Linked DNA regions of Mytilus edulis. The protein of the gene in region 2 interacts with the protein of the main gene of each other region in a pairwise test. Links are inferred from orthologs where the notes say so. Each region holds a gene or a part of one and is shown on either strand. Other genes may lie near its edges.

Evidence for each region.
Region 1: the proteins of splicing factor, suppressor of white-apricot homolog (region 2) and cilia- and flagella-associated protein 20 interact in binary tests that used the Drosophila melanogaster proteins (3 or more experiments, as listed by UniProt). The link is inferred for Mytilus edulis from reciprocal best matches to the Drosophila melanogaster genes su(w[a]) and Bug22.

Annotation. Positions count from the first base shown.
Region 1 is NC_092348.1:4,764,241-4,781,898, reverse strand, and holds cilia- and flagella-associated protein 20, read right to left. Parts: upstream 6,561-17,658; 5' UTR 6,210-6,560; coding exon 6,126-6,209; intron 5,500-6,125; coding exon 5,420-5,499; intron 4,864-5,419; coding exon 4,752-4,863; intron 4,431-4,751; coding exon 4,242-4,430; intron 3,937-4,241; coding exon 3,814-3,936; 3' UTR 3,016-3,813; downstream 1-3,015. Other genes in the region: casein kinase II subunit alpha, read right to left, coding at 17,271-17,380. UniProt on the Drosophila melanogaster protein: Cilium- and flagellum-specific protein that plays a role in axonemal structure organization and motility. Microtubule inner protein (MIP) part of the dynein-decorated doublet microtubules (DMTs) in cilia axoneme, which is required for motile cilia beating.
Region 2 is NC_092349.1:92,200,890-92,218,262, reverse strand, and holds the start of splicing factor, suppressor of white-apricot homolog, read right to left. Parts: upstream 9,103-17,373; 5' UTR 9,068-9,102; coding exon 8,889-9,067; exon of another isoform or gene 8,858-8,888; intron 7,752-8,857; exon of another isoform or gene 7,707-7,751; intron 5,134-7,706; coding exon 4,973-5,133; intron 3,859-4,972; coding exon 3,751-3,858; intron 3,097-3,750; coding exon 3,038-3,096; intron 2,368-3,037; coding exon 2,139-2,367; intron 1,338-2,138; coding exon 1,160-1,337; intron 1-1,159. Other genes in the region: transmembrane protein 199-like, read left to right, coding at 9,300-9,480, 14,800-14,876, 15,160-15,252, 16,013-16,043, 16,647-16,774, 17,363-17,373. UniProt on the Drosophila melanogaster protein: Regulator of pre-mRNA splicing (and, possibly, of other RNA processing events). Regulates its own expression at the level of RNA processing.

The DNA.
Region 1 (17,658 bases), on a different chromosome or scaffold from region 2:
CTTTCATTGTTGTGTTGTTAAACTATTGTTTCTGGTTAGTATGACGGTTGGCGCCTATTAAACGTTTCAACCCGCTGCATTTGTTTGCATCTGTCCAGTGGTTATAGTTTGTAACGTTAATGTGGTTCATTAGAGTTTCTAGTGTTTTTAATATAGATTAGGACGTAAGTTGGTTCTCATGTTAAAACCAAGGATTTGTTTTACACTAGTCATTGTTGGGGCCATTATAGCTTGCTACATGCGGTTTGAGCCAAGCCCCACGGTGTTGGAGGTCATTGTTGTGGCCAATTATAGCTTGCTACATGCGGTTTGTGCCAAGCCTCCGTGTTGGAGGCCAAAGTTTGAGCAATATTACTGTGCTTATCCAGTGACCTTTGGGGTATCACAATAGCATGTCAAAATTAGACCTTCTTATTCAGTGACTCATACTATAGTAAGTCATTTTTGTGTTTGAAACAAATGACAAAGATATCAACTAACTGGATCTGGATGGTAAGTATAACTTTTGATTTCACAGCACTCACTTCATACTAACAACATTTCACTTGAGCAATCTGCTAAAACATTTTACCAGTTGATCAGTTAGTTGGAGAAGAAATCTAACTGCAATTTGGTAAACTGTTTGAGCCATTGCTATTGTGATACTCCAAAGGTCATTGGATAAGCATTGTAAATGGTTTACTTTTACAAGTTGTGACTTGTAAACAGGATGGAGAGTTGTTTCATAGGCAGCAATGTCACATCTTATCTATATGGATCTAGAAACATTTCACATGTCTAGGAAGTTTAATATAGAAAGGGGACATTTCCAGATATATTGCATCTTCGCTAGACAATGATTACGATCACTCCCCACCTTTACCCTTGACTAGCGTAGATAGTCTTATTTGAGTTTCGCATAATGCTGTCATGGCGAGAATTCCCAAAATAAACCCAACTTTTTACTGAATCAAATTTCCGCATTAGATTGTTGGTATTTAAAGCTACTTTTGTGATATTTCCTGGCGGCCAGTTTTTGTTTGTGGAGGAAGCCGGAGTGCCCGAAGAAAACCATCGACCTTCCATAGGAAAACTGGCAATCCTAGGCAATCAAGATTGGAGTCGAGTGTACCTACACGAGCGGGATTTGAACTCACTCAGTGTTGACTGGCTAGTGATTACGGTGGTGGTAGTACTTCTTGGACTACTTGGCCACCGAGACTCCTTCTGTGTTTGAAAGACAATTATCGATTCAACATGCAAATGGTTCCGTCTTCACATGAGACACTGTTAATGGTACAAATGTATATTATTCACATAAAACAAGAATGATGGACACTGTTCTTTTTTATCTTTATTTTAATTATCTTAAATGCGTTAAGGCGAGTCTAGTGGTTCTTTGATGGAGCAAACTAAGATGAGGTTTGATAAGCAACATGGGATAAGTCTCCTCTTGAGAAGTTAGCAAACCCAGACCAAGAATTCATCGACCACTTGCATGGGTTGACTGCCAAATCAATTACATTTGTAACGCTTAGGACGATGGAATGCTTGAACTGTTTAATGCATGAGGACAAGTCTGACAGGTGCGTTTTGGGGATATTTTTTTTAAAAGACACACACCTTGTGTTGCTCTCTTTTAAGACTGATGACAATAGTCTGAATTTAAAAAAAATAAATCGATTAAAGATAACCATCAAGTGATCAATTTCCTAAACGGAATCCAGGTAATCTGATTTTCTGTGCACATGTCTAGTCAGTCTTTTGTGAAGAACCTGGATACTTTTCTAGCCTTCACTTGTAACTGCATCTGACAAGAGGGACAACACAAAACTTTATGAAAGCCATCAAATGCAGAACAAACAAACTTTAACAATTTTGTAGTGGACTTCTTTTGGAGAATCATACAAGGTCAGTGGTTAAGCCTGAAGGATGCCTCTGGCTGCAGGAGTTTCTCACTGCATAGAAGACCTATTGGTGATCTTCTGTTGTACTCAGATCTATGGTCAGGTTGTTGTCTCTCTGACATATTCCCCATTTCCATTCTCAATTTTATTCAATTAGTTAAATTGAAGCCTCTATGATAATGCTCTTATGTCAGTTAATCTTTTGTTGTGTTAGTTTCTTGTCTTACTAACCTATATATTTCCGGGGGGGGGGGGGGGGGGGGGGAAACACATTTTATCTGTAATGTTGATGGGGAAAACTTCATTCAGGTGTTTAAGTGTTAAATATGATTTCTTTGTTCAAAATCCTGGAATAAAACACCATATCTGAAGTAATTTATTTGTGTATTTGATTGTGATTGTTTTATGAGGTTCACATTTAGTCAAACACCAACAAACTATCAAAAGTAACTGCTTGCAGAACACCAAGAAATTAATTCCTATTTTAATACAAGGGTTAACAAATTTCACAGGTTCAGTCTAACTGAAAAAACTACAGAAGGGATGTTCATTTAACTGTATGGAACCTCATTTCATTTCGTTTAAAATTAGGATTTTGCATCCAATAAAATTGAGAATGGAAATGGGGAATATGCCAAAGAGACAACAACCCGACCATAGAAAAAAACAACAGCAGAAGGTCACCAACAGGTCTTCAATGTAGCGAGAAATTCACGCACCCGGAGACGTCCTTCAACTGGCCCCTAAACAAATATATACTAGTTCAGTGATAATGAACGCCATACTAATTTCCAAATTGTACACAAGAAACTAAAATTAAAATAATACAAGAGTAACAAAGGCCAGAGGCTCCCGACTTGGGACAGGCGCAAAAATGCGGCAGGGTTAAACGGGGTTAAAAATGCTTTTTGTAGGAAGTACCTTACTCAGCATCACTTCATGTTTAATATCTCATGTTACAACACTTTGAAGGGTCAGTAGGTGGTTTTCCAATGTCTTGAATATGAGAGCAATATTTGCCACTGGACATTAAGCTAGCACAATCAAACAAGCAGCTTCACTTTCTACAGGTGATATGGATTCTTTTGGCAGAATATATTACTTTGAAAGAGAATATCTGTTCATCTGCTAATTTTTAATATACATTTATTTTTTGCTATGGAAGTTATGTACAAATAATTTTTAAAATGCAAGAACATTGTTTAACAAAGACAATAACAGGAAAAAATTTGAAAATTTATCCACTAACAAAACAAGTCAGGAAAAGACAACTTCGAAATATATATAAAATAAAATATTGCAATAAATCCCAACTTAAAATGGAATTAAATCTTCTTTATTTTGTATTCTATTCAAATGCTAGATGCAATTTGTGTTTTAAAAATATCCTGAGAATTACGGGAGATATGGAGATCTACAGGCAAATACAACCAAATTTAAACTTTACATTATTATCTGCATATCAATAAGTACTATATGTGTGGAATATAAACACAGTATAAAATTTGAAAACATTGTTTTTAAAGCACTAAATGTCATTTTGTTCCAGAAAGACAATAATATCAAATCATTTATGCAAAATTAATAAACAATTTTTAAATCTGGCTGTATAATTGCACCGAGTCTTCCTATAAATATGAAAATAACTGTTCATGCAACAAGAGATATATGAAATATGACATCAATGACAATTTAAAATGAACACTTTGTTTCGTATATGATCATGGCATATTCAACGAGACTCTAGGCAGGAATCAGCCATGTTTGATTGGTCTCTCGTACAACATTTTTGCAAGACATTTGTAAAAACAGGCAGCATCTCTTAATATCCAACATTCTCGCAATAATTCACCTTCAGTTCTTGAGTAGCATTTGAACATTTTTATTTTTCGTATAATTTATATACACTGTCTAATTAGTCATTTTGTTATGCTTTCACGCCTCCTTTATTTTGCACCGGAAGGTATAATTTAAATTCTGCGGGTAATTCATCTTCTGAATAAAGTCTGTCTGAGAAGTAAACTCTACGAATTCGACAATTGGCATGAATCTGAAAAAAGAAATAGAAACAATAAATCAAAATATCACTGTAATAAATGGGTATTAAAAAATGCAAAACTGTACATCAAAAGTTTGTTATAAAATTGTTGAAAGGCTACCATCTCTCAATTCTTTTTTACACTATTTCCTGAAAAGGACCAATTTCTTTTTTGTTCTTGTAAAATAAAGTAACTATTTGTTTGTGTGGTACAATATATTTCCTTATTTTACCATAATTCCCAAGACCTTAACCTTAAACATAAGATTGTGACAATTTAACCTGATTTATACATTGACAAGTTAATCAATACTAACCTGTACTCTAAGTGTTTCAATGTAATTTGTTCCATAGGCTCTCCTTGTGAAATCTGACAAGTTGAATTGAATTTGATTCCATCCATCATCTAACCTCATTGGCATAGTACATATAAATGGTTTTACACGTGTTGTACTTTGGTAGTTACTAGCTCTGAATCTTCGTCTCACATTTTTGTCATCTAAGACCTAAAATATTACAGAAAGAAATGTTATAAAAGGACTTAAGACCATCATGGTTAAGTCATTGTCTATTGACTCGTCACTTATTTATACTAAATTGCAACAGAAATAGTAAAAAAAACATTTGAAGAATTATGCACATTTGTGTGTTTATTTATTTATATTTCTGAACAGAAATCCAATGGGTTCTTTTAAAGTAACATGTTTTTTTTTGTAAAGATAAGTTTCTTCATTTAACATATTCACATTTCATGCTTAGTGATAGAATTGCATAACTAACATTTTTAGGTCGACTTTAAATTAAAAATATAATTGCTACATTCTTACCTGTACTTCAAATGTGAAATATTTCTTTAAGTTTTTGATGATCATAACTAAGAATGGAAGTTTAATTCCTAATGTTTTCTTTGGGTCTGCTGGACATGTGATGTATGTTGTGCTATAAATAGAAAAGGGAAATATCAAAATATTATTCATACCGGTACATTTGTTACTAGAAATAAAAAGTATGTTCTTTCAATAATTAATTTTAAAATTCAGTCAATAAACATACAAGATTTAACATAAAATGTGCATTTATTTAAGTAGAAAAACAATTCAAACTTGTTATGTTGTAAGAACAAATAATTTTAACACTTGTAGCATAGAAAATATTTAAAAGATTAACATTTTAAAGAAAATATTTTCAAAGTACTAATGTGTTACAGAATCACTTTAAAAACTTGCACATGTCACTTGACATAATAAAGATGTTTAAAATAATATAGGATGCAGTATTCAACTAATTATATTGAATATGTAATGTTTTGCATAAATAAGAATAATTAAAATTGCATTAAATGAAAGTTAGCTATATTTGTCTCATTAAATAACCAAATGCATGTATATTTGTGTTTGATTATGTGTTACCATAGATGTTACTTAAGGGAGATAATTCAAAATTATCTCTTTTTCAAAACAAAGAAATATTTGTTTATGGTTGATTAAGTACATACCTGACATTTGTACCAACAATTTCTAAAACTAAGGACTGGATATCGTTGTCTGTTATACGTTTAATATGACCATTTCTAACCTACAACGATAATAACATGATGTTATAATATTGTCTATTAGAATGCAAATGGCGGCCATGATGTTGATGATCAGGAAACAAAATACTATCTTGGCAACGGAGGTCTAACTCCATGCAAAATTATATAACATACTTTATTTATCGTTAACTAGTAGTGTTTTTCTAATAAAATGTTCTATAATGTGCAATTGAATGAAAATAATGACATAGAATTCAATGAAGCGAGATGACGAACATCTCCATCTTCATAAACATCAACATCACATATGGCTACTAAAAGTGACATTACTTCCGAAAAATTAATAATTGTACACTTCCGTCATCATAAATCTCGATGGTAGTGTATAAAATTAAAATATTTGTGTATAACATATAACATTCAAACACTTGTAAGTTGTTTACACGTGCACTTCCGTGTGTCAACAAAAACAAAAGTTTCTTGCTTGTCAAATGCCTTAATTTTTCGAAATAGAAATCTGGTGATGACACCATATAATATTAAACTAATTGTGAAGCAAGTTATGCATACTGTCATGTTATTATTAGATGAAGTTGAAGGTTTTCATGTTGACATCAATGTATCACTATGGTAATGATAACCGGTGTATAGAATGAAAATAACTTACCTTTTTGTCCCAAATTTGTAACGGTTTACTTCCAATACTGTAAAGTATGGATAAGAACCCACTCTGAAATGTATTCTTGAACATTGTTATTGTCTATAATAGTGAAAATTTTCTAAGTTCTTAGTCCTCCTGGACAGCACACTAATACGCTCCTTCTCTCGTGGTGGACAGTTGTCAAGTGAAGGTTCAGTTGTGTGTCGGTTAAGTTAGAGAAGTTGCCAAGGGTGGCGATACGGTCGCGCTTGGTTTTAGTTGCTACGTGTGACGCTAGGGAACTATATTGAGAATTAGTATAAACACATATATTATTGTTATTCTTTTAAATTATTTATATCAATAATGCAGTTTGAAAATTACCAGAAAGTTTCAACCTATGTCATGCCTTAATTAAAAAGATATTTGAATATATGGATTTGGAGTAGTGATATATGTAGTGGCACGCTTAGTACTTCTGTTGTAGCGAGTAGACGACACACGTGGTTTTATTTACATTGATCATTCGTTGTTTTACAGTGTATTTTTTGGTGAATATCAACAACTTAAGTAATTTGTGGAATCTGATTAAAAAACTGGTCTTAATATTTGCAAGAGGTAAATTAAATAGGTGTTTGGCGATAATTTCATGTCAAAGTATACTGTTTTCTAAAAAAAAAAGATTTATTTTTTTCCCCGTTTTTTTTTTTACTGAAATGATGAAGATTGAGTGCTGTAAAACGTCTAGTGGTCCATTGATAGAAAATCATGGCGAATCAGAGTTAACCACTTGAGGTAAGGTTAGTACTAGCCTTACTCGTCTATATAATGCCTAGTGTAGAATATGTTGGTTTTTTATTGGGGGGAGGGGGTCTGATTAGAAAAAAAGAAACTGATATCAATTGTAAAGTATACACATCCTTTTAATTAAAGTGTATTTGAATTAAAAGATCATAAGAATCCGCAAGCTTTGTCAACCTTTATTACAGTAAATTTAAATAGTAGCGGATTGAGAAAGCTCATCACATATTGATGCAGTTTGGAGTATCCAAAAGTAACGTATTTTTTTAGTAAAAATAGATTTCGTTTAATATTTAAATATTTTTTTCATATTGATAGGACTGAGCAAATTGGTGTATTTGAAATATGATGAAATATCATTGATTATAGAAATTATAATTTACTAAAAAAAAATTATATGAAATAGAATATTAATGTGAACTCGGCGTAGTATAAAACATATAACCTTTAACTTATCATGCTTATTAGGTTTTCCCCCGAATAAAAATGGGATACAAAATACATCTGTGAATATAGCCATTGATCATCCCAAGTAACTAGATTGCGTACATAAATCAAACCGTAAGATTTCTCATTTAAATTGTTTTATATTTTTCATTTTGGGGTCATTTATATATAGCTAACTATTATGCGGTATGGGTTTTGTTCATTTATGAAGGCCGCGTATGGTGATTTGCACTTGTTTATTTATGTCATATGGTGGAGAGTTGACTTATTGGCAATCATAACACTTCTTATTTCTAGGTCTTAAAGGAAAGATAAGATAATTTACGCTGAATCTCATCTGCATGATCAAACAATGACCCCCCCCCCTTTTAACTTGAAAAAAAAGAAAAAGAAAATCCTTTTCTTCAATTATTACAAGTCATTTGTGGCTGGATAGCGATATTTAAACTCCGATTATAAAATTTATTTGTATTTTTATACAATATTATATTGTTTTTATGTGTATGAAAAAAAAGAAAACAATATTCAAAGTTCAGAATAAGTAATCGCAAGTTTTAAGATGAAACTTGGCGATATATTGATCCAAATGTGCTTTATGAAGTAATAATTGCGACAGATGTTATTCTGATGATGTTGAGGATGAAATTCATTTTTGTCGAGCCTTCGACTTTAGTCGAAAAAGCGAGACTAAGCGATCCTACATTCCGTCGTCCTCGGTGTCGTCGTCGGCGGCGTCCACAAATATTCCCTCTGTGGTTAAAGTTTTTGAAATTTGAATAACTTTCTCAAACGATCCTGGATTTCTACCAAACTAGGACAGAAGCTTGTTTATGATCAAAAGATAATATCCAGAAGTAAATTTTGTAAAAATAAAATTCCATTTTTTCCGTATTTTACTTATAAATGGACTGCCTGGAAATATTACATTCACTCTGTGGTTAAAGTTTTTAAAATTTTAATAACTTTCTTAAACTATCCTGGGTTGGTACCAAACTTGGACAGAAGATTGTTTATGATCATAAGATAGTATCCAGAAGTAAATTTTGTTTTCTTCTAGTTAACATTACATTCAGTGTACAGTTAAATTTTTTAAACATTTATTACATAAACTATCCTGGATTTTTACCAAACTTGGACAGAAGCTTCTTACAATCAAAAGATAGTATCAACAGGAATATTTTATTGATTTGTTTCCTCATTTTTGTTGAGCTTGCGATTAACAGAAAGAGTAGGCGAGACACTGGGTTCCGCGGAACCCTCACGAATTTTTCTTTTATAATGTTCCTATTTGTCGACCCTTCGACTTTAGTCGAAAAAGCGAGACATAGCGATCCTACATTCCGTCGACGTCGTCGGCGTCCACAAATATTCACTCTGTGGTTAAAGTTTTTTTTAAAGTTTTAATAACTTTCTTAAACCATACTGGATTTCTACCAAACACTGACAGAAGCTTTTTTATGATCATAAGGTAGTATCCAAAAGTAAATTTTGTAAAAATAAAATTCCATTTTTTTCCGTATTTTACATATAAATGGACTTAGTTATGCGTTTACTTTTCTTAATTGGCTATATATATAGAGATCTCATAAACATGTTTAACCCCGCCGCAATTTTGTGCCTGTCCCAAGTCAGGAGCCTCTGACCTTTGTTGGTCTTGTATGATTTTTAATTTTAGTCTTTTGTTTATAATTCGGAGTTTAGTATGACGTCCATTATCACTGTACTAGTATACATATTTTAGCGGCCAGCTGAAGGACACCTACGGGTGCGGGAATTCTCGCTACATTGAAGACCCATTGGTGGCCTTCGGCTGTTGTCTGCTATATGGTCGGGTTGTTATCGCTTTGACACATTCCCCATTTCCTTTCTCAATTTAAGTTTTTATGCGGGGAAACATTACATTCACTCTGTGGTTAAAAGTTTTTAAAATTTTAATAACTTTCTTATACTATTTTTAATTTGTACCAAACTTGGACAGAAGCTTATTTATGATCAAATGCTAGAATCTAAAAGGAAATTTTGTCAAAATTGTGTTCCTGTGTATCGGCATGCATTTCACTTATAAATGCACTTTTCTTCCAATTAACATTACATACAGTCTGCAGTTAAAGTTTTTAAAACATTTATTAGATTCATAAACTAATCTGGATTTTTACCAAACTTGGACAGAAGCTTCTTACAATCAAAAGATAGTATCAAGAGAAATATTTTTATTGATTTTTTTCCTCATTTTTGTTGAGCCTGCGACTTACAGCAATAGTAGGCGAGAAACTGGGTTCCACGAACCCTTACGAATTTATTTAATCAGCAGCGGAACCCCTTATGAATTTATTTAATCAGTAAAGAACTTTTTTCCTTTACTATAGCTATATCACCGAAAAAGTCCATCTTTATATACATAGACATATATGCAGATGTATATGTCTCGGGTTTTATTTAAGCATCTTAAAATAATCTTATCATAGGACTTTGATTAGCAAACAGTAAAATTTTGGTACAATACCCGGTGATTTGAGCATTTATATACATAAGGAGAAGACTCTGTCCACAAGATGAGCACGTACTAATTCCAACCAATCCAATATTGATAGGGTTGACCATTTTTATGAAAATATGGAGATGTGGTATGATCGCCAATGAGACAACTATCCACCAAAGTTAAAATGAAGTGGATGAAACCATATTAAGCACGCGTACATTTACAGGGAACATGGATGATTAGCAAGTCAAGGTTATGCGACACTTCAGATTGCTGTTTGCTAAACGTCCAGTTGCAAATATTTCATGTATGTTTGCTGTGTTCGCCGATTACATTGGTACTTGCAGTAAAATACGGATATTGCTTAAATCATATTTACGGTCATGAATTTGGGAAACTAAAAAGGAATAATTCTACCTAATGCAAAGCTGATTCCTTGTTCGGTTTTGGCGATACTTGTTAGGTCCCTTTCGATTTGATTTCCTCTTCGTCGTTTGTATTGGTGTTGGTTTTTTAAAATAATTTGGTCTCCAATTATCTTTGAAAAAGACGTTGTAATACGCATCTAGTGCATTAAAATTAGCGTATCGTTCGAGCTGTAATCCACCCAACTGTGTAGCTAGTCACACAGTTTTTCTGATCTCATTTTCATATTTTTACTCGGGTGATAGTGTTACTCTAAAACTTTTATTCCATTACACAAAGATGGAGATTTTTCCAAATGAATATCAAGTACACGGGGATTTTCAATTGCATGATTTTGAAAAGAATGAAAAGGATGTAGATTTTTTTTTTAATAAAATCTAGACAAATAATTTTCTAGGGAGGCATTGTAAATGCACTTTTCAACAACATTTTCATTTGAAAATAAATACAAAACTTCCCAAAATCTCTCCTATACTGGCAAAAATTATTGCATCATTTTCAATTATTTCACTTCAGCTATTTTTATTTTAGAAAAATGCAAGACTCACGCGAGACTACTCTAATATTTATTTTCATTGGAAAGATTGAGTCATGTGTCAATATTATGACATTATGAGAACAATTTAGCGTTCACGAAGTTGTTCATTGTGTCAGGTTGGTGTTAATTAGGCACATCGAAATGTGATCGAACGTTTACAAATCCTAAATTTGATACTTTTTAATATTTTAAACCCCTCAAAAATAAAATAAAAAAACCCACCTTGCAACACCTTCCATAGTTCCAGTCAATGCCAGTAAAAACCAGAAAACTATAATTTAAACATATTCTTCTTTCCAGTTCATAGCTATGAGACTGCAAGACAACATAATAGTGGGTAAACCGTTTTCTCATTCGAATTGTTTCAGGTAGATACTATTTGATTTATTTTGGGTGCTATGATGAAATTTTTTATCCAGCCTTTTTAAGTTGAAATCTCTGTCCCGACTTTTTACATACACTCAAAACTCATGTTCTGCCTTTTTTTCAAATAACATCCTAGCTCCCTTATGATTGTCATTTCATTTTTTTTTATTTCTTGCCATGCAGTATTGTTTTTTCTCATTGTTGCAGACTGTACAGTGACCCAAAGTTGCTAGCTACTACATCATTTTCGTCTCTATTGGCATGCATACCACACATTATTTTTTGTATAAAAAGAAATCCATTTGTTTGAATATTTTCTTAATCATTAGCTGCAATGAACTTTTAAATTGCTACAAAAATAACATGGAACCAGGTGCAGGGCACAGCTTTATACGACCACAGATATCAAAACCTTAACAGTTGGGGCAAGTATGGACAAAACATTCAAGCTTGATGCAAGTACAACTCTGAATTTGGATTGTGATCAAATTCTTGACATAATATGAGTTTCTGACACAAAACAAATGTCAAGATCTTACAAATCTATTATGCAATATTGTGCAATTAAAGATTTTTTCTTCAAACTTTTCAAAAATTTAGGGAAAAAAATTGAAAATTACTACCGCCCCCTTGACATTTCTTTATACATAATTTACAAGTAGTGTAAGGGAGGTAAATCTGAACATACCCAACATTGAATGTTAACTGTTTTTGAAATTACCTCCCTTACACTGCTTTTAAATTGTCTTAATTGTCCATTAACCAGAAAAACCTAGTTTCCCCCCCTTGTCTAAAACATTTTGAGCCATAACCCCTCAGTCATAACTAAACATCCTTTTTTGGTATGGAAACTTGTGGTATAATTTCAGAGAGATTCATACACTTAAACACAAGTTATTGTTTAAAAAATACAAAAATGCTTATTTTGGGCCCCCATTTTGGCCCCTAATTCCTAAACTATTGGAACAAGAACCCCCAAAATCAACCTTCTTTTAAAAATTTATGGAGATCCATTCACTAAATCTAAAGTAATTGTCCAGAAAACCTATTTCCCTCCCTTTTTTTGCCCCTTATTCCCCCTATTTAGCCCCGATTTCCAAAACATTTTGAGCCATAACCCCCAAAGTTATAACTAACCATCCCTTCATGGTATGGAAACTTGTAGAGAGATTCAGACACTTATACACAAGTTATTGTTTGAAAACTACAAAAATGCTTATTTTGGGCCCTTTTAGGCCCCCAATTCCTGAACTATTCAGTCCATAACCCCCAAAAGCAATCCCAACCTTCCTTTAGTGGTCTTTAACCTTCTGGTAAAAATTTATAGAGATCAAATGCGTCCTCCTCCGACAACATGATACCATTATACAAGGCAAAAATTTATTTTAAGGTCGTATAATAAACTTGTCTGGTAAATCAATTAAAAGCTTACTGCAAGAATATATGTACTTTTATCTTTTTTTCTCGAAAATTGACTGCTCTGTTGTTCAGTATATCTGCAATGTGACCTCAGATCTGTTTCTGCAGGAACATTGCCGACATAAAATGCTCTGCAGGGTGCTGCTTGATAGACCACAATGGTCGAACCATGAACAGTTGGAGCAAGTATGGACATAACATTCAAGCTTGATACAGCTCTGAATTTGGATTGTGATTAAATATGACACAGCATAGGTTTCTAACACAATGTGTGGTCCAAGAACTTAAATTTTTTAAATTGGACATTAACCTTTTTTGTTCCAAGATCTATAAACTAAATACATGGTTAGATTCAGCATATTAAAGAACCCCAAGAGTTCAAGAATAAAACCCCATTGAAATTGGTCATGAAATAAGCAATTTATTCAAAGTATATTCCTCAACAGTTAGGGCCATAGCCCCGAAAATCAATCCTAACCTTCCTTTTTTGGTATGGAACCTTGTGGTACAATTTCAGAGATCCATACACTTACACACAAGTTATTGTCTGGAAACTAGAAAAATCCTTATTTGGACCCCTTTTAAGGTCCTTATTTCCTAAACTGTTGGAACCATAACCCCCATATTCAATCTTAAACTTCCATCTGTGGTTTCAAACCTTGTGTTTAAATTTCATAGAGATCCCATAACTTAAACTTAAGTTATTGTTTGGAAACTGAGAGTCTTCGGAAGATGCGGACGATGTGATACCAATATACAACGCAAAATTTGTTTTTGTGGTAATATAAAAATTTATACAATCTTTGCTTCTATAGCACATGTTTGGAAATTTCATGGACATTGCTTGTCGAAGACCCATATCAATGTTCTCAAGTCTGTTGATAGCCTGCTAATAGGTAACTGTTGTATTGCAAATGCTAACAACCAATGATCCCATTTGTCGATCCTCTTTTCAGATTTTACTAGCTGATATCTGCTGTAAACTGTTTTAGTCTGGTCCGACTAAAATGTCTCATTAAGGTTAAAGGATAATATTAACAGTTGGACATTTCGTGCCCTACAGTTCAATTTATGTGAAGAAAGCATTCAACTTCATGATCTTATATTCACAAAACCCACATTAACTAGACAAGTTCTTCACATCTAATTATACTTTCCATGCTCATCGATCACTAAATCTGGGCTAAATTGGCAATATCCTTAGTTGGCACATCTAATAAAAGTTTGCATCAATTCATAATGACCATGTGTACTATTTTCACAGCTTAATAGTACTACAAGAAATTCATACCTTTTTTCATGGTTTTTCTCATTTGAATTCTCAACATTACCGTGTACCTTTTATTACAGTCAGATATTTTTTTAGGACTATTCATCAAGTTCAAGTTTGGCCATAAAAAACAAGAGTGAACTTTATTAAATGTTTCATATTTGACTTGGCAATAGGTAGACATGAACCACAGCTAGTTCATCTACCTTTACATATAAAAGTATTCTATGATATGACACGCACCAGAATCAAATTATAAATCTTCAACCAGTCATCTCAACTTTGACCTTATATAAAGAAAGGGAGATAATATTCATAATTATCTCCCTTGCAATATCTGCATGGGAGACAACTTCAGATTGAAATTAACATTCTGTTGTTGTAGACAAATTCATTTCATGTTCATTTCACAAATGAACAATACAAAAAAACATATTACATTTAAACTTACTAAACTGAATGTCTTTTTTTTAGACAAATTTTATCAAAAACAATTTCAAATTAATTTTAAATACACATGGTTTAATGTTTTATACAAATGAAATTTCATGTAAACAAGACAAAAGAAACAAACAACACAAGTGAAATGTCAAAAGGAAAATTTGTCTACAACAAGAAATAAACTGAATCCCTTTTTCCACATGACAATAAAAAATAAAAGGACAACTCTCATTTCTGGGGCAACATGTGAAATAATTAAATTAGGTATGATGGAAATAAGTAACAAAACAGTAAATTATGAAAAAACAGAGCAATCATTCAAAAAATTAACAATAACTTGTCACCACTGAATTAAAAGAGACAATACCCTTATTTGAAGTACTTTTTTCACAGGATATTCTAATACTGACAATATAATTGTTCATCATGATGTAAATACACAATTTCATATAGAATATATTGTTAAAGCTGTTTTCCCCCAAGCACAATATTTGTGAAGGAGAATTTGAGTTATCGAGATTATCAATTCAAAGTCCTATGACTGATAAATGCACTGTTAAATAATTGCCAAAATTTTTTTTCAGATCTATACCAAAAGGTTGTGCTTCGGACTGATGTTTGTTATAATCTTCAATTATAAAACTTTTTTAAGAACAATATCAAACATTTATATGCATTGCCAGCTAATCAAACTTTCTTTGTAAGGATCTTTGGAGTCTCACTCAACTGTCACAAACATATCATTACAGCTATAATCTTCATCAATAAATGCTCCTTCAAATGATTTTTCCCTGGTCTCTCTTGCTATATTTATAATATGATTTGTTTTTTTTATTATTATCTAAATCATTTATTTTTCATTAACCTCATCTTATGAATATATTTATGCATTTCTCCCCCGAGACCATTCATAAAAGTCAGCATAAATTAGACTCAATGTGTACAGTCGAATGCTAATGTGAATGTTCTTTTCTGATGCAGATATTAACCAGTCATAAACAACATGATGAGAATATTTATATGAAAACAGATCTGTGAGAGTCAAACGATACAGTGATGATAAACTATACATTGTAAACTGAAAGACATTATAATTCCAATGAGACCTGCTTTACAATATTATATAACAGCAATTAAAATCATAATTAGTAATAATACCTTTTCATTCTTAAATTCATTAGACCTAAAACATTCCCGTCTTTATCAAGCTTTATAATATACCTAGTTGTACATACAGGTGAAGTTAATGTGTAATACAATGGCAATCATTATGTATCAGCCGACCATGTCAGATGATATTAAAATCAGGTATTGTTGTACAAGATTTATAAAAACCAAAAATCTGTATTACATAAACACAGCAGCATCAAACTTGTTGTAAGTACATAACTCGCTTTGGCAATATCTAACACCTTATCAAATCTCAACAGAGGTGTCTTGATTGATACTGATTCAATATTGTCTGCCATATAAAATTTATATTTGATATCTGCATTCAGTTTAAAGCGTGTTATTCAAGTTCATTGTTAATTCAAATTATGTATCAAATATTTTAACAAACATGTTTACCAACCATTCCCAGAAGACCGTTTTAGAAGACATTGGTATGAAAATAAATATCTTTTAGACTAAATATAATCAGATGTTAAACATGTGTAGAATTTTCAAAGGTCACTCAATCGATGCCCCGGCCTTATGTCTGACAAAAGGTGCACTGTATTGAACAGGGAAATATCAAAAGTGGGAAAAGAACTAAGGAGAAGCTACAAATGCATACATCTTGCTGGACACATTGCCTCTCACTTTTCTCAACAGCTCTGTAAATCAATTTCAAACCTTTTCCAGATACACACAAGTAAGCACCTGTTAGACAGGTGATGTATATAAAGCTTTGCACCAATATTTTTTTTTTTTTATGGCAACAGTATTTATTACATTTTCGCTACCTACTATAATACATACATATCCAACTTGTATCATTTTATCTCTCTTTTTTTGTGATTTCCTGTATGGTGCAAGTCACTTTGCTAAAGTTTAAGGGATCTCTACTATTGAAAACAAATCCCTATGTGTCTTTCATAAAAAAAAATAACAAGCCAAGTTCAGAGTAACAATAACCGAAAATCTCAGAAGTTATGAAATCAATCAAAATCGTCCGATTTTCTTGCATTTTCTCTAGCCCTCTCTTGTGTGTATTTAAATCACAATTTAATGTATTTTTTACTGATAGAAGTAAATACCTGATCTTATTGAATGCATAATGTCACAAGACATTTATGAAAAACATACAGCCCATATCAGTATTCGGCTACACTCTTTTCAATTATGCTTGGGAATATATTTAATCTTTATTATGTTCTATTCCTTCAAAAAAACTGAAAATATCAGGTTCAATTTTAGCACTTGTCAAGACATAAATTATAAAATCATCAAACAAATCATACATCATAAATGAACAAACTAATTGACATAAACAATGCTGTTGAAGAGACAATATTATCTTTCCATTGATTTAATATCATGTACTATGTGAAAAAGTAAAAAAACAAAATACTCTATATGTTAAATGATTTAACCCCATTTTTCAAACCACTACTTATGATTACTGATAAAAGTAAGAAAGTTAACATCTTTTCTTTCAATCTTTTTTGGCAAAAAAATAGTCCTTTATTCAATAAAACAATTAAAATGTCTTATTTAGCTTTCAGAAACATGAGTAATATATTTGAGAAGAAACAGTTTTGCCGCTGGGCGAGTATCGTTACCCTATAATATGAATGATAACAGGTGAACAAATGACATGTTTATCTTTGTATTGCTATTGCCCTGTTGATTTGTTCAGGTCATCACAATTTGCATTAAGTCGACACAACACCAGCTCACTAATAAATATTCGTCATCATCACCAGGCGTTCCCTGTAGCTGATGGCAAAGTTTTAGTTATCACAATAGACACGTATCAAGCCCAAGCAGACATATATAGCACTAAGATTGGGCGGTGGCCGCAGTGGCAGCTGTACTGTTAGGAAGGGGCGACATACTGGGGGTGATGACAGGTGAACTGTTTACAGCTGCAGTACTGTTCATGGTAGCACCTGTAGGCAGAAAAGAGCAGAAAAGAAGGATATGGTTATTGTTCTGTATATATTATACTAGCATGCACAAAATCATTCACTAACAAGCAAATAAGCATCAAAGTCAAGATCTTCTTAATTAGTCCTCAAATCTTCAAAATCTGGCATGTTAGTATGGTGACATTTCTAACACACGTTTAAGCACTGAAATATGTGATGAGTTTTTAAAAATCTTCCTTATTCAAACATGTTAGTTTATTTACATTTTATGAAACACTGAAGCAGAAAATAGTATTTTG
Region 2 (17,373 bases):
ATAGCTGACTCAGTACTAACCTGTTTCTATCCGAGTCAGGAGTAGATTTTTACAGATGTTTGAGTAGTTTACCATACGGTGTATCATGTATAGATATAGCTGACTCAGTACTAACCTGTTTCTATCCGAGTCAGGAGTAGATTTTAACAGATATTTGAGTAGTTTACCATACGGTGTATCAAGTATAGATATAACTGACTCAGAACTAACCTGTTTCTATCCGAGTCAGGAGTAGATTTTTACAGATGTTTGAGTAGTTTACCATACGGTGTATCATGTATAGATATAGCTGACTCAGTACTAACCTGTTTCTATCCGAGTCAGGAGTAGATTTTTACAGATGTTTGAGTAGTTTACCATCAGTGTATCAAGTATAGATATAACTGACTCAGAACTAACCTGTTTCTATCCGAGTCAGGAGTAGATTTTTACAGATGTTTGAGTAGTTTACCATACGGTGTATCAAGTATAGATATAACTGACTCAGAACTAACCTGTTTCTATCCGAGTCAGGAGTAGATTTTTTCAGATGTTTGAGTAGTTTACCATACGGTGTACCATGTATAGATATAGCTGACTCAGTACTAACCTGTTTCTATCCGAGTCAGGAGTAGATTTTTACAGATGTTTGAGTAGTTTACCATACGGTGTATCATGTATAGATATAGCTGACTCAGTACTAACCTGTTTCTATCCGAGTCAGGAGTAGATTTTTACAGATGTTTGAGTAGTTTACCATACGGTGTATCATGTATAGATATAGCTGACTCAGTACTAACCTGTTTCTATCCGAGTCAGGAGTAGATTTTTACAGATGTTTGAGTAGTTTACCATACGGTGTATCATGTATAGATATAGCTGACTCAGTACTAACCTGTTTCTATCCGAGTCAGGAGTAGATTTTTACAGATGTTTGAGTAGTTTACCATACGGTGTATCAAGTATAGATATAACTGACTCAGAACTAACCTGTTTCTATCCGAGTCAGGAGTAGATTTTTACAGATGTTTGAGTAGTTTACCATACGGTGTATCAAGTATAGATATAACTGACTCAGAACTAACCTGTTTCTATCTGAGTCAGGAGTAGATTTTTTCAGATGTTTGAGTAGTTTACCATACGGTGTACCATGTATAGATATAGCTGACTCAGTACTAACCTGTTTCTATCCGAGTCAGGAGTAGATTTTTTCAGATGTTTGAGCAGTTTACCATACGGTGTATCATGTATGGATACAGCTGGCATCTTGACAGCGGGTGCTAAGTTAGGCTTGGTCGTGTGTGTCTGCACTAAACTGGGATGTAAATATCCGTGCTGACTATGTGGAGCATCATCATCTTAAATAAAGAGAATTATCATGCAACAAATATAATTAATATAGTTCAAAGTCAATTTAAAATCACTCAGTTATTCACACTGAATGCTGTTTTAGTGGTTAATTCATGCAGTTATTTATCTGTTTATTTCAAACAAAACATATGGCAAGGTCACAAAGTTAAGTAATTGCCCCTCATATTTATGATTTCATTTCACATGTTTATGAAAATATCTAATAATAATTTAGTACCAACTTTTTGATGTAAAAACATATTAATATCGTTCCTAATGTACAAAGCAGTGTAACATTCACTGACACTGGCAAATTAAACATGTAAAATGCATATTCAGGAAATGAACACAATAATTGTGTCAGATATGACTATAAACCCTGATTTGTACTAGACCGATACGCTTATCTGTATTTTCAACATGCTACCTCACAAGGTAACAGACTGCAGGACGACATGTCACCATATTCAGACACATTATTCTGACTCCAAACAGTCTTTGTTCTTACTCTTTTACAGAAGAAGCAGCAAATACTAATTATCGTTGGTTTAATCTGTCCTGGATTGTAACCTACATTGTTTATCAGAATATGATAAAATACATAGAATTGGTGAATGGTTTTTTATTGTATTGGGGTATTTTGGCCCCCCAATAGAATAAACATTTGGCATTGCTGGAACAGACCATACTAACCTTTGTTATCATCATCATCCTCTTTTATCTCTTTAGGTTTATATTTCCCAGATTTAATCATGTTAACCATATGTTTATAATACTGATTTAACATTGTTATAACAGACCATACTAACCTCTGTTATCATCATCATCCTCTTTAATCTCTTTAGGTTTATATTTCCCAGATTTAATCATGTTGACCATATGTTTATAATACTGATTTAACGGATCCTCAAAATGAAGAAAATCAAACTGTGAATTCTTGGCTTGTTTGGTCTTTATTATAATCTCCATTTGCATGCCATGACCAGCAATAAACTTGGCCGTCTTTTCTATAAACGCATGTTGTTTTTCTGATTCAGGCTAAAATTAGAAGTTATATTTAATCATGAAGGCATTATACAAGATCTTGTTTTATTACATTGTCAACCTTACTCCAATTTATGCTATTTCTTTGGTGTCGTGACCATTTATTGGTCTTTAGTTTTGATTTAACATAAAAGGAGATGTGATGTATGTGTAAACGAGACAATTATTCAGCCCTTCAATGAAATGTAGCTGAGAAACAAAAAAGTGTGAAAAATATTTGATATTCTGTTGATCACTGTGTTTATAGGCAATGTTCTGTTGATCACTGTGTTTATAGGCAATGTTAATGACATAGGCTTATGAAATCATCATTTTTATCTACTCGACTGAGACAACCATACTCAGTAGAGAAACATGATATGAAAATTATCACCAAAAAAATTCAAAGCAACATTTAAGAAAATGGTGATAAAAATAAGTTTGATGTTTGATTTCAAATAAAAACACTTGAATAAGTTTCATATTCAGTAAGGGCTGTTCCATTAAGTGAATGTTTGAGGGTAGGCACAGGAATGTCATGTTTGAACATGCAGTGTGGGTTATTAATTATGGATTTATGTCACAAATATAAATTAAGAATAACGCTAAGAAATATGGGAATTTTCAATGTCCTATGATATTTTCTGACATACATTTAAATGAAATAACCCTAGATGTAACTTACGACTTCCATTTCTGAAGGGACTTGTAAATCTTCTGGTACTATAAAAATAGGCTCTGGTTCTGTTGATAAAAAATAACAATAAATTACATTTATATAATTAAAGAAGTTCTAAGTTTTAAAACAATCTTTTCTCCTAATTTCGATAGTTTTGGCACATTGTTTGTACACATTGTGACTCACTTGACCAAAAGTTTTACCATCTGTGGTAATATTGTGTTTGTGATCATTTTTGTCAGAAAGTTTTATAAAGTTACACGTAGTTATAAGTTAGTGAAAACTAATTGTAGAAATCCTGGTTTATTTGTTAAGGTCAGCTTTTAAAATAAGAGATTTGTTTAATCGGCAGAGAGAGTTGATGTTTGAGCAATTGTTTTCTTGTGAAGACTGCCATTGACATCTATCTGTGTTGGAAAGGACAAAAATTTCCACAATATGACAGAGATATTAAAAAGGCCTATAGCTAGAACATGAGGTCAGATTGGACACAGTATCATCTGATTATCAAATTTTCCACATCGTGTTTTCATCAAAGTCTCACTGTCATGTGATGGAAGATGGATTGATTGGTTGATGTTTAAAGCCACTTTCAGCACTATTGTGCTATTGTGTGGCGGTCAATTCTTGTTTTTTTTAAGGAAGCCGGAGCACCTAATTCATGCAATTGGAAGAAGACTGTATGAGATATTGTACTCACTACAAATGATCTAACCTACCTTGTACTTGTGTTTCCATGTAATCTTGGTGATGTTGGTGATCGTAGCTAAATCCCACAGCATTGAAACCCTCTGATAGAGACTGATAATATCTCTTCCATTCTTCCTCTACACACACAAAAATATATGCATGACACAGTATATATACACATATATCAAGAACATTTTACAAAATATTATTTTAATTGCTTAAACATGTGAAAACAATTTTATTTTGTTTTTTTTTACTGATTGAGAGCACCATGCACATTTTGAAATAAAAATGTAATATATGAAGTTTTTAACTTGCCCTGTGGATTACTTCATTTTTCATGACCCGAGGAAACTTACAGTTACATAGATACTCGATTTTCTGATTTTGTCATCTGCAGTTAAGCTTAACGAAAATTTGTGATTTAAAATTCCATGTCATGCTTCACTTGAACCTAGATAATCCACATAAAATAATGTATGAATATAATTGAAGCCTGATCCTAACTTTTTCAAGTTTTTGGTTGTGAAAAAGGACATTTGATTGATTTTTTGGGTCATTTTCCTAAAGATGCAACATTTTTGTATGCACAAACATTTTTAAGTTTTTCAAGCAGCATGTTGACTGATCAGTATGTTTCAATGTGGAGTAAAATTGACAAGATAAGTGTTTCCAATCATTTTTTAATATTTCTGTCGAGGAATTAAAAGACCAGAAAGAACATAGATCATTGACGTCATACAAGAGAAATATATATTTTTTACCTGTACAAATATTAAACAGAATTCCTACCTTCGTACATCTTTTTACCTATACAAATATTAAACAGAATTCCTACCTCCGTACATCTTTTTACCTATACAAATATTAAACAGAATTCCTACCTTCGTACATCTTTTTACCTATACAAATATTAAACAGAATTCCTACATTCGTACATCTTTTTACCTATACAAATATTAAACAGAATTCCTACCTTCGTACATCTTTTTACCTATACAAATATTAAACAGAATTCCTACCTTCGTACATCTTTTTACCTATACAAATATTAAACAGAATTCCTACCTTCGTACATCTTTTTACCTATACAAATATTAAACAGAATTCCTACCTTCGTACACCTTTTACCTATACAAACATTAAACAGAATTCCTACCTTCGTACATCTTTTTACCTATACAAATATTAAACAGAATTCCTACCTTCATACATCTTTTTACTTATACAAATATCAAACAGAATTCCTACCTTCGTACATCTTTTTTTCTGCTAGATCATTTTTGAGTTCTAGGTATCTTTCCTCGTCACACCAAGCTTCCATCTGTTTATCTTCCTCGGATAGCTCCGCCCTCTTAACATGACTGGCATCGTATTTTGAAAGGTCAAACAGATGACCTCGTCCATCATATCTGAAGGTACAGAATAAATACATACATTTATAATGTGATCATAAAATGATAACCAGTAAAATTTAAGAATACTATTCTCTTCAATATGACCACCAACATACATATATACATCATAGCATTGCAAAAATATGCAAAAACCAAACACATGTTCATGCTTTCAAAGAACTGAGGTCATCTAAAAGGTATGCTTAAGAAGTTTTTCAGAGGAAGCCTCAAGGTTACACATATGTGTACATTTGTACAAAATATGGCTAAAATATTCAGATTTTCATTCCTTTCTATCATTTTTGTTTAAATTAGGAAAGTAACTGTTTTCTCAAGTTACAAAGCAGTAGATATAATATCAGTTATCATGATTTACCACATGACTTACACAGTAAAAAAAAATCTGAAAAGAGGCCTCACAAGCTTATTTTTTTTTAAATAGCTTCTCACTATTTCGGTTCTTGTCCATCCTCGACTTTCAAATATTCAGCTACAAGTGTTACTGATGAAGGTAAATTCAGAAAAGTGTTGAAGACTCAGCTACAAGTGTTACTGATGAAGGTAAATTCAGAAAAGTGTTGAAGACTCAGCTACAAGTGTTACTGATGAAGGTAAATTCAGAAAAGTGTTGGAGACTCATGAAACTTATATGGTGTTGTTTTCGTTTGTCATAAATTGTTCCTATATTTTTATATCTATATGTACACATGTATATGGTATAGTGTGTGGTCATACTGAAGATAATTTTAATCTACTTTTAAGGTGATTTGAGTTGCATATAGTTTTAAATTAAAACTAATTGCATTTAAAACAAAAATAAAACGGAATTCTAAACATATGTACCGTCACATCATGTAGTGTTCTCCTAAAGGTTATTTATCGTCATGGACTCATGGTAATCAGTAATATGATTTTAATTTTCTTGAGTGTGTATTACTATCTTAAGGATGTGATACAGTGTACTTTAACTTTTAGAAACAAGATGCAGTCATGGAATTTTAAATTAATTTGTTCAACAGGATGATTTATCAAATTTGATGGGAGAACACTAACATGATACAACACAACATGTTTCCTATTGAAAACTTTGGTGACCTACATGTATCACTTTATAGTTTTTATAGTCATTCTAAGTTGAACGAATTGTTTACAAATAATAATTAGATTGTAATACAAATACATCAGCAAACAACAAAATGTACCCAAGGGTCATGACCTTGAACATTGGACAATTGAATAAATTCAACAGACACTACCAGTTAGAAGGTTAGATCAAAAACATTTTTCAATAATTTTTACAAAAAAAATTCTAAAATTTAACCAAAAAGACTTTGAATTCAGCAAATTCATGCACATTTGGGAAAGCTTCTATTATAAATATTTATATACACATTCTTTAACGAACAATTTTTTCAAATCACCTTAAATTAGATTAAAATTTGTCACTATGCTAAACATGAAGATCAGTCAGATATTTTAAATTATTATAAAAATATGTTTGTTTCCATGTAACCATTGGTAACCTGAGTTATGATACATTATACAATCTTTTTTAGTAGGTCCCGATTATTACATTATTTATAAACAGTAGGTTTAGGAAACAAACATATCCTTATTTTACAACTGATTATACAATATAATAAAATCTTGTCAGAACTTTTCTTCAGACATGTTTTGCAAAAAGATTCTAACAAACAATATCATAAATTACTGACATGACTGTTATATGTTTTTTCAATGTCTAAAGTTACTATTTTACCATGTTTACAATCATGACAATAAATACTAAATTTAATAATTCAAAAAAATAATTTTTAATTTTGAAGTTGGATTTACCATGTTGATGATGTTTATAAACAAAGAGAATCTCTTATTATAGCTATATATAGTGTAATGATGCATGTAACCAATTTTCTTAAATTGTTGGCTAAGATGATAATGACAGATGTTTTTTTAGGCCTAGCCACAAGTTAAATGCATATTCAAGACAAGAAACGTTAATCATTGTTAATGTGATATATGAATAATGAAACCTTCTACATGTATGTACTAGATTCACAGGATGAGCTTTATTTTCAACATGCTAGTTTAAATCTAAAAGGTAACAGTTTGCATGAATACAATTTAACTGTCACATGTCTACTCAGACAAGTTATTCTGACTCTGAACTTACTCCTACATGTTGTGCGATAAGCACAGAAGCAGCAAATATGTGTTTTCAAGTCTTTGTTTCTATCTGGACCTGCTTCATCTTTACCTTTCCTCACCAATATGAATTATTTCAAAATTTCTGATTAAGTTCTATCAACAGGATTGTTTCAATAACATTCTCAGTTATCATGGTTATATATAAAGATAAATGCATCTGTTGAATGTTTAGGTTAAATATGTTTTTATGATCTATGTCAGAAAATAGAATTACTCTTTATTTTTTTACTGTGTCAGTGTGTGTAATTGTATTGTGTGGCAGAGATTGGACCAGTTGTTTAATTCTGGGACTTTAAGATGACTCATAATTGTAGAAAATGTGACCAATAATCACATAAACCAATACTTATCCTGTTAAATCAACACTTTTGTATAATTACCAACAGTGTGTTACTCTCTGTGTTATAACGTCACTGCAAGGCAATCTGAAATTAAACATTCTGCAAACACAACATATACATAGTTTTGTTCTTAATTACCAAATATCAATATTGCTCAAAAACAATAAAGACAATAAATTCAAAGGACTTTATATATTTATATACTAGTCACTGTCATGTAAAATTGGCACCTGGCTACTATCATGACTATCAATAGTATTCATTTAAGGTGAAGTTTTTTTCACAAGGCCAAATCTAAAAGTCCTAAAAAACAGGGAATGTGTCCATGGGACATATACATGTAGGGGCATAACTCTAGAACAGAAAAAGTGATGCCACCAAAATTCAAACTTGATCAGTGTTTTGTGGTAATAAGCAATGTATATTAGTTTCATAAAAAGGCGCTTGGTGACCTTTAATAGTGCACTCTATGTTGTTCCATACTAAAGCTACTGACCCTGTTTGTTTACATTCAAATTGAAATGGTAAAAAAAAACCAGGTGACGCATTGAATCATTATACCCAATCAAATTGCTCTATGGTCAATTAGGTGATTTTTTTTTAGTATAAATCTACTAAAAGCAATTATATTATTTATTTGGGCCTGTTTTGTCTGTTACTAAGATTGATGACGATTAATGGAATGTACACAAAGCAAGGGAAGCTAGAAGTGGGACTTAGAAGAGAAGAAAACAAATATTCTGCACTAATTTTGTACGCTGGTATTAGCATAGTGACGACATTGCAGATTTTTCCTGTATGATACGTAAAATAACAAAGTCCGAAACGAACGTGATGTCCGATTATAGTCTGCGATAGGCAAAAGTCATCAAATGAACATATCAGATCAATATAAAGATTTTGAGAGAAAACTTGGGCCGATTTTACATGACAGTTACTATAGTCTATATCATCAACTGACAAAAGCTTCCACCAACATTTGTCATATGGCAGGGCATTCCTTTCATTCATAAGGTCAAGGTCAGTCAGAAATTACTTTCTTCATTTCTGCTGTATTGTGTGTTGATTAATAGTTCCTAAATACATTATTCATGTTAACAAATTATTTGATCATTCAAGTACAATTATCCTGAAACGAAAATGACGTGATTAACGCGTTCGCGTCGCGAGAAATACGAGCTAATCGAGACCTGTAAAAGCAGCTGTTTCTTGAGAACCGACCTGTCAATCAACAGACTGGAATCTCCCATCCATGGTATCAGATGTTCTCCTTCGTCGATGGAGAAGGCTTTCCTGTCATCTCTGAATAGTTTACAAGCATAACCAAACACAGAGAGCTCCTCTGGTTCCTTAGATTGTTGATTTTCTCCCTCTGGTATGTCCCATATGAGCGCCGCCATCTTTGACGTTTTTCTAACGAATGGAATAAGCCAATTTGCGACAAATTTTCTAAAGAAATTTTAGTTTAACGCTATTTTCCCCGGTTATTAACATTTATTAATTTTCATAAAATCATTTATTCAACAGTCACCAAACATTGTAAGCATTTACACATAAATAAATGTGCATTTACAGAAACCTGATAACCCTAAAAGTAAAAATAAGATTGACCCTTTTCATTTCCGGTACAGAATGGAACCAAAAGTGAAAGTTACAGAAAGAATCAGAGAGTTACTTCAAGATGTAACAGAAGCACTGGACACTGACACAACAAATGAGATAGAAGAAATAAAAAAATACTTGATAAAGAATGAAAAGAACACCGAAATACCATTCAAACTTGTTCATTTTGCATATAAAAACAGAAAACCAGGTACACATCACATGATCAGTTGTTATGAAAAAGATAAAACTTTGTTTTTGTAGAAATTCAGGGCTTTGTTTGTTGTATCTGTTATGAGGTCTTGAAAGGCTATCATATTTTTGGTATCCGGTCGTTCCGGCCCCAAACCGATCCGGCCGCAAGTCAATCCGGCCCAAAGTCGATCCGGCCCAAGTCGATCTGGCCCCAAGTCAATCCGGCCCCAAGTCGATCCGGCCCCATAATAAAATATGAAATAACTATATTGATCTTGGAGGAATTTGTGACACAGTATAAATGGAATTTGCAAAAAGTGTCCGATGATGGATGACAACAGGTAAGTGAAGTATTGGAGTACCAGTTAAAGAACTATTTTAAATCGATACGAAAATGATTGTTATTGTGTCGTTGGTTGTATAGCAGCTTCAACATATTTTAAAATATGAAAATATTTTCCATGATAACTTTAACTTTAACTCATGGCGATTTCATTTTCTTTTTGTTCATACACAGAATATCTAAATAAATATTTACAGTCCACTGGAAGCTATTAAATTTAACTCATCATATGAGTCTATAATTGGTTTGTTTATTCAACAATTGTCTGATGATTGTGAACTAAGGTAATGCCACTTGTAATCACTTAATTAAATCAAATCCTGATTATTTGATCTTCTGGTTTAGGTTGGTATATATTTTAATTCTGACAAACCTTCGTCAATACAATGGTATACAGAAGTTACATGTAATAAATAGCACAATTATAAATTACAGAAAACATAATATGTACACTATTTACAAATATAAGTTGAACTTAGCCAGGAGAACACACACATGAATTAATATGCCTTATAAATGTACATAGCTTTTTCAAATATGATTGTTTTGGCATATTCATTACTTCCTTAAATTTAATTATATTTGGTGTATATAATAATTATAAATTGTATTTTTTTCAGGTAACATCACAGGCTTCTATTTACTTGTTTGTTTTTTTATAATATCAACAAGGTCTTTATAGATTGATATTTTGTTTGGTGTATATAATAATAACCTATAATGGTTTACTTTTATAAACTGTTATTTGGATGGAGAGTTTTCTCATTGGCAATCACACCACATCTTCCTATATCGATATATTTTTCATAAATTTGACAGTATTTTGAATAGTTGTGTGTAGAAAAAACACAAGTTATATGAGTATCCATTTAAGGAATGACTGTAATATTTTTTCTGTCAATGAAGAAATAACATAAAAAATTTGATGCACACTGAATAACGCGCGTAGCGGGTTATTTAACAGTGTGCACCACATTTTTTATGTTATTTCGAATAGACAGAAGAAATATTACAGTCATTTCTTATAATTTAATTCTAAATTCCATTTTAAACCGTAGAAAACCATGAAAAAACGTTGATGACGTCACGGTCACATGACTAAATTATGTATATGGGCTCATAACAAAATAACGTCAGCCAATCAGAAGAAGCGTTACATCCAAAATTAAATTATTATTCTTTATTGCAAGAAAATAACAAAACAATGACACTGAATGCACGTTTTCATACTCTAAAATATAATATCAGCACTACTAAAATATAACAATAACATCATACATACTAACTATCTCTGACACTCACATAAATATATATAACTTTTAAATCATTTACACTAACAGTTTTACACTGTCACTTACTTATTCTCCAATTTCATGCTCAATTAATATAAAAAAAAGTATAAGCCCAGTTATTGGCACTCAAACCTTATCTTTTTTTATTTATTTTGCGCTCTTAACAATGAATTAGATTATACTATTTACTTACCTTGACTGTGTAAGCAAAAAGTCACTGCTAACTAGTTTCTTGAATCTTCTCTTACTACCCTGCTCTTCTATGTGGTATGTTACCAGGGGCGGATCCAGGATTTCCAGACGCAAAGTTTTATTTTCGCCGAGCGGAGTGAGACGAAAAAATTTTGGAGTTTTTTGTAGGTAAAACTATTGAAATATTCTTCTAAAGGGGTGAAATGTAGATATCTCGAACTATTGTGTGGTAAAATTAGCGAGAAATTAAAGTTTCAAGCTGAAACCGCCTTAATCCACACCTGACAACAATCTACAGATAGACGGGCGGACAGACGGACGCAAAGTGAGACGAGACAGATCACAATTGCTCACCTGACCAATATATTTTTCAAATGAAAATTTCTACTTTTACCAGCGATTTTTAATTGTCCTTTCATACTACCTGTGTTTTACTTTTTTGATTTTCGGAGCTCGTGCCAAACTTCACTGTGTTCGCCACACACAACTAAAATCAGAATGAGATGCATTTACGCAGTTATATTTATTTTCTTGGGATCCCCATCATACAGTAATATGGTACAGAATTCGGCTAAATATTTAGCTTGCAAGTGAGAAATAAATATAGACACAAAGAAACAAATTAATAAACTAACCTTTCGCTTGAAACAGTATTTCTATCTTTTATTATGCCGGGATATTATAAAAGAATCTCACTGTTTGCTTGACCGTGTCATGATGAAATTGTGAAAGTGAGTAAGGGATGTTTTGGAACTTCGATTATCAAACAAATTGATTATAAAAACCGCAAATACAATGTAACATTTGTTTTTCTTTAACTGCTAAAAACCTATTATATTTGTCGTCAAACGCAGCTCCGCGTTTGACACCTTCCTTTGAAGTTATTTATAGAACTTTAATAAAGCGTAGGTCAGTTGATTAGTAATCACGTTGATTCTGTTAAACTGACTGTTTTATATACTTTGAATGTTAAAAAAGATTGAATGGTCTCTTCTGATACTTAAATATGTTGAAGTCAACCCATGCTTTGCAAATTTTAGGGGGGCGCCCGCCCGCCACGCCCCCGCCTAAATCCGCCCCTGAGTTACTGGTCTGTTACCGACAACGTTATCTGGAAGTTCTGGGTCTTCTATGTCACTACAAAATTAATTGAATATCAAAATTAGTTTTTATATCAAATAACTGTTTTTGAATATTTGGATTAGCAAGATTTCAAGATTTCATTCATAACCTCAGACACATACTTGTGTTCAAGAGGACAATATATAAAAACATATTAATTAAGATAGTCTTTCACATCATCTGAAGAAATTTTTTTTTTTACCGTACACCTTTAACATTATAACAAAAATCATAAACATTTATGAATTACTTTAATTTATATCTTTATTTTTATTCCTTATAAATATATTTTTTTATTGGGGCCGGATCGACTTTACATTTGGGCCGGATCGACGTGGGGCTGGATCGACGTGGGGCCGGATCGACGCGAAAGCCATATTTTTTTGTTTTAACGCCTTAAATTGACCTAGTCAAAATAATTATGACGTCTTGAAAGGCTATTAATATTTATATGATTTTGTGCTTTGACGCATTATTACATCACCTTACATCGACTGTCATGACAAAGGTGTCAAGCAATAAAATATGATTCTCTAATTTTTGCGCTATTTTCACATTTCCTGACCGGTGTGAGAAAAATATTTCTCCTCACTAGTGAAAAATCTGTTCTCGGCAAATGATTAGTCGAAATTTGATTATGACGTCAAAATGTTTTGTTTTCTTCTCAATTTTCCTATTGTGACGTCATGAAAAAAGGCGACCTTGCCTGATGACGTCGCATATAAAGAGCACAATTTTCTGAAAATCTTTGAAAAAGAACGATAAAAAGCATTAGAGAAACAGATTCCGACACTATAACTCGTGTATTACGATATTTCTCCACTCTCGACAGTTAAATTTTATTATTTAAAGAGCTCGGCAAGCCTCGCGCTTTAAATAATAAAATTTAACTGTCTCGAGTGGAGAAATATCGTAATACACTTGTTGCAGTGTAAGAATCTATATTACTATTAGCCGATCAAGACGTCATAATTATGTGGACTAGGTTTGACCTAACTAGTAAATGAGAATTTGGATGGTTCGGCCCAATTCCTGTGAGCACCAACACTTTCCCTGGTTTTCGTTTCTTTATTTCTTTTCATACTGGGTTATATCATAATTTATAGTAATCAGTCAGGGTTGATATTATTCAATAACTTATATATGCAGTACATTAGGTATTTCAAACAATCTATAGTATTGATTCAATACCCAGCCTAACAAATTGACTTATGAGAGACTATTTTGAACATATTAAAAAGTTGTATATATTCTTTAAATAAAATTAATCTGCTAGACTACTACATCTTCTTTGAATAAGCATCCTCAGTTTAAGAATGCCTCTAATTATATCAGAGACTCTGGCTAATTTTGTACTTAAAATTAAATAACAAAATGTTGGTTTATTATATTTCAATAAACAACATTTATGTATTACAACAAACTATGTAGACTCCTCTCCCCCTGAATGTCAATTTTATTTTAATGTAAGGTAGACAACTCATGAAATTTTATGCAAGCAGGTGGCTAATGTGTAGCGCTGGAAACTATTCAGTTTGTAGAACCAGTAGAACATGAAACATTTTGAATGTTTATGCAATCTGTTTATTAGCTACATTTATATTTAGTATATATTTAAGTTGATGTTACTTAGATAAAGATTTAAAAGGTAATTTTAATTTTTTGCGGATGCCCTCATGTTCACCTTAATCATGTTAATAGGATATATGTGTTATAGACATGCTGGATGTTAATAAGACATATGTGTTATAGACATGCTGGATGTTAATAGGGCATATGTGTTATAGACATGCTGGATGTTAATAGGACATATGTGTTATAGACATGCTGGATGTTAATAGGATATATGTGTTATAGACATGCTGGATGTTAATAGGATATGTGTTATAGACATGCTGGATGTTAATAGGATATGTGTTATAGACATGCTGGATGTTAATAGGATATGTGTTATAGACATGCTGGATGTTAATAGGATATATGTGTTATAGACATGTTGGATGTTAATAGGGCATATGTGTTATAGACATGCTGGATGTTAATAGGATATGTGTTATAGACATGCTGGATGTTAATAGGATATGTGTTATAGACATGCTGGATGACCTATTTGACAATTTGTGGCCAAATTATGGGAGCCCCATCCTCGTGACTTTGAAAGATTTGAGCAAGATATTATTTATAACATTTGAAAAGTGACTGCTGTTACCACCTAATGTGACATGTCAATTGATGGTGTCAATGATCACGTTACTGTCGAAGACAAAAACACAGCTTAAGTGTATATGTTTCATTATCAACCATACGAAAATAATACTGTAATTTTTCAGTTGATGAATTTTTCAAATAAGTAACATTTAATGATAAAACAATTCTTCCTTTTCAGAAAAATGCAGTTTATATTTAAATGAACTCTTAGAAAACAGCGACCTTATTTTAAAGGAATACATTCCACCTACAAGAGTAAGTTACTTATTATATTTTTAAACTTTAACCTTCCTCAGAAATTTAAGGAACTTATATCTTGTTCTGCATGTTCTTGTTTTGTTTATAACTTCATCTTCTGTTCTATATCGCACCAGAGGAGTGAATGTAAAGGATTTTTTTCACGAGGGAAATGTCAGTTTATTAATGTAATTGACTAGGAAATACAATATTTTCACTGAAACAAATGTTATGCATGAAATGAACAAAATCTTAGTAATTTTATACCAAAAGATCATTTCACACAAGTTTTTGTTTTTAGAATCCAGAACTAGAAGCTAGAATTAAGAAACTGAAGACACAACAAGAAAACAAAGACTACAAAAAGATGACAAAAAATGTTGGAACATTCAAGGTAAACTATAGTTATTATAGTGCTAAAACAGACGTTTTGGGGTCTTTTCTGAAGGGTTGTCTCATTGTTAATCATACCATATTTTCTTTTTATGTTATTATAATCTTTGTATAGTTTAAGATAACACAAATTGAAATGATTCCCAATAGAAAACTTTCATTATTACTACTTCTTGTACAAGTAATAAAGATCATTTATGTACCTGGGACTACAAAGTTTAATCAGTGATACTGGCATTATGATACTTAGGTGGACCATTTAAATTAAAAGCTTAAGATATCTATCGTATTGTAGTTATTCAAGGCAATCCATTTTTGACTGTTGATCTGTGATGTCCATCTGGCACATTTGAGTTGTCCTTGGCCTCATTTCAAGGTGAAAAGGCATTTATATTGATATAAGATGAAGTAAGCTTTAGGTTTAGTTATCTCAGCTACAGTTATTTTAATTAGAATATAATTGGTGTACATGTCACTCTTACTGGATACTTATAATCTTGACCTCATTCTCATGGTTCATTGATTCATATTGACTGGATTCTTATGATCTTGACCTCATTTTCATGGTTCATTGATTCATATTGAATTTAGTGAGTAGTTCTGTGTCTGAATTACTTCATTAGATAAAACTTGTATCTAAGGTCTTTCCTGATGCCCTAACACAAAACACACATGTAGTTTGTTACACGAGAAACATAATACTATATAATATGTATTCATTCAAATTAGACTAATGATCAATATAAACCTTTTATTTTCAGGTTCATGAACCAGGTTCAATAGGAAAAGAATGTAAGTTATCTCCCCTTATGAAAAAACTTCTTTGTTTAGCATAGCAAAAGTTACCAAAACAGAAATTTTAGAAAAATAAAATATATACATACTATAATGACTTTAAAACGCTCCATATTGTTGAAGACCATATGACGACCTCTAGATATATTTTAGTTATTTGTGTCCCTAAATGTATTCGCTGTTACAACATCTTGTTTTACTTATATAAAGTTGAACAATCTGTAATTTAAAAAAAGGCCTTCCATCTCACCCATTTTCATTTCCGCATGCTAACTTTAGATTGCCTCATACAAAATTAATGAAACACATACACATTGCTAAGAACCAAAACTCTCAGAGTTCAAATTTAGGTAGTAAATAACTTAAGGTTCTAGAGTCAGGCCCTTTTATAACTTGGAAAATTGCTATTTTATTTTAGATTCCGCATCCAAACTTACATTTGTTACATCCAAATTTTATGAAACTCATACACAATACTTTCATTTAAAACAAATATGACTTTTGTCTGAAATATTTTAAATCTTTCAAATTCATCTATCTATAGGGTTATTCGTACAAAAATTAAAACACCATTAATTCTGCATTATGTTTATTTTTCAGTGAAAACACTGAACAATCAGATGATAGGAGTGTTTAACTTTGTATTGACAGTGGGCGGGGCTTTTGTGTTTGGATACATGGCTACAAAGTATGCCTTTGCTGATTCTGGACAAGATTCTTTCCCTTTGGTAAGTTAACCAGAATGCTACAGACATTTTGATATTTTAAAGGAAAGTTATTCTCTGTCTAATTACCGTATATCTTTTGGAATACAGTACCTGAAGTCATCTGTTATACAAACAGACATATTTTGAAAGGTAGTTTTTCTCAGTCTAATTATATCTGTTGAAATGCAGTATATGAAGTCATCTGTTAAACAGCTAAGAATGCAAACAAAATATTTTTAAAAACACTTGATTTAGTTTTAAATAGTTGTAGACATAAGCTTTAGATAAAATAAGATTTAGTGTATTCATCAATTAGATAGCAATAAACGTGTTTACACTTTTGGTATTTAGCTGTATTTTGCCTCTGAATGACCTTTGATCTACTCTGAATAACCTTCTGACGTCGAGCAACAATGACTTTCTAATTGTAACGTCAAATGTTATAAATTGTGATGTCAAAGTTTACGGAAACCTGTGTGATTTTATGTAATGGCAAATAAATTTGCATACAAGTGTAAATAGTCTTTTAACAAAAACAAAATGTGTTGAGGTCTAGGTAGGTTCTTGAATTCCTACACCAGTACGTCCATTATCTGTTTTGTATTTCAGCAATTGATGTC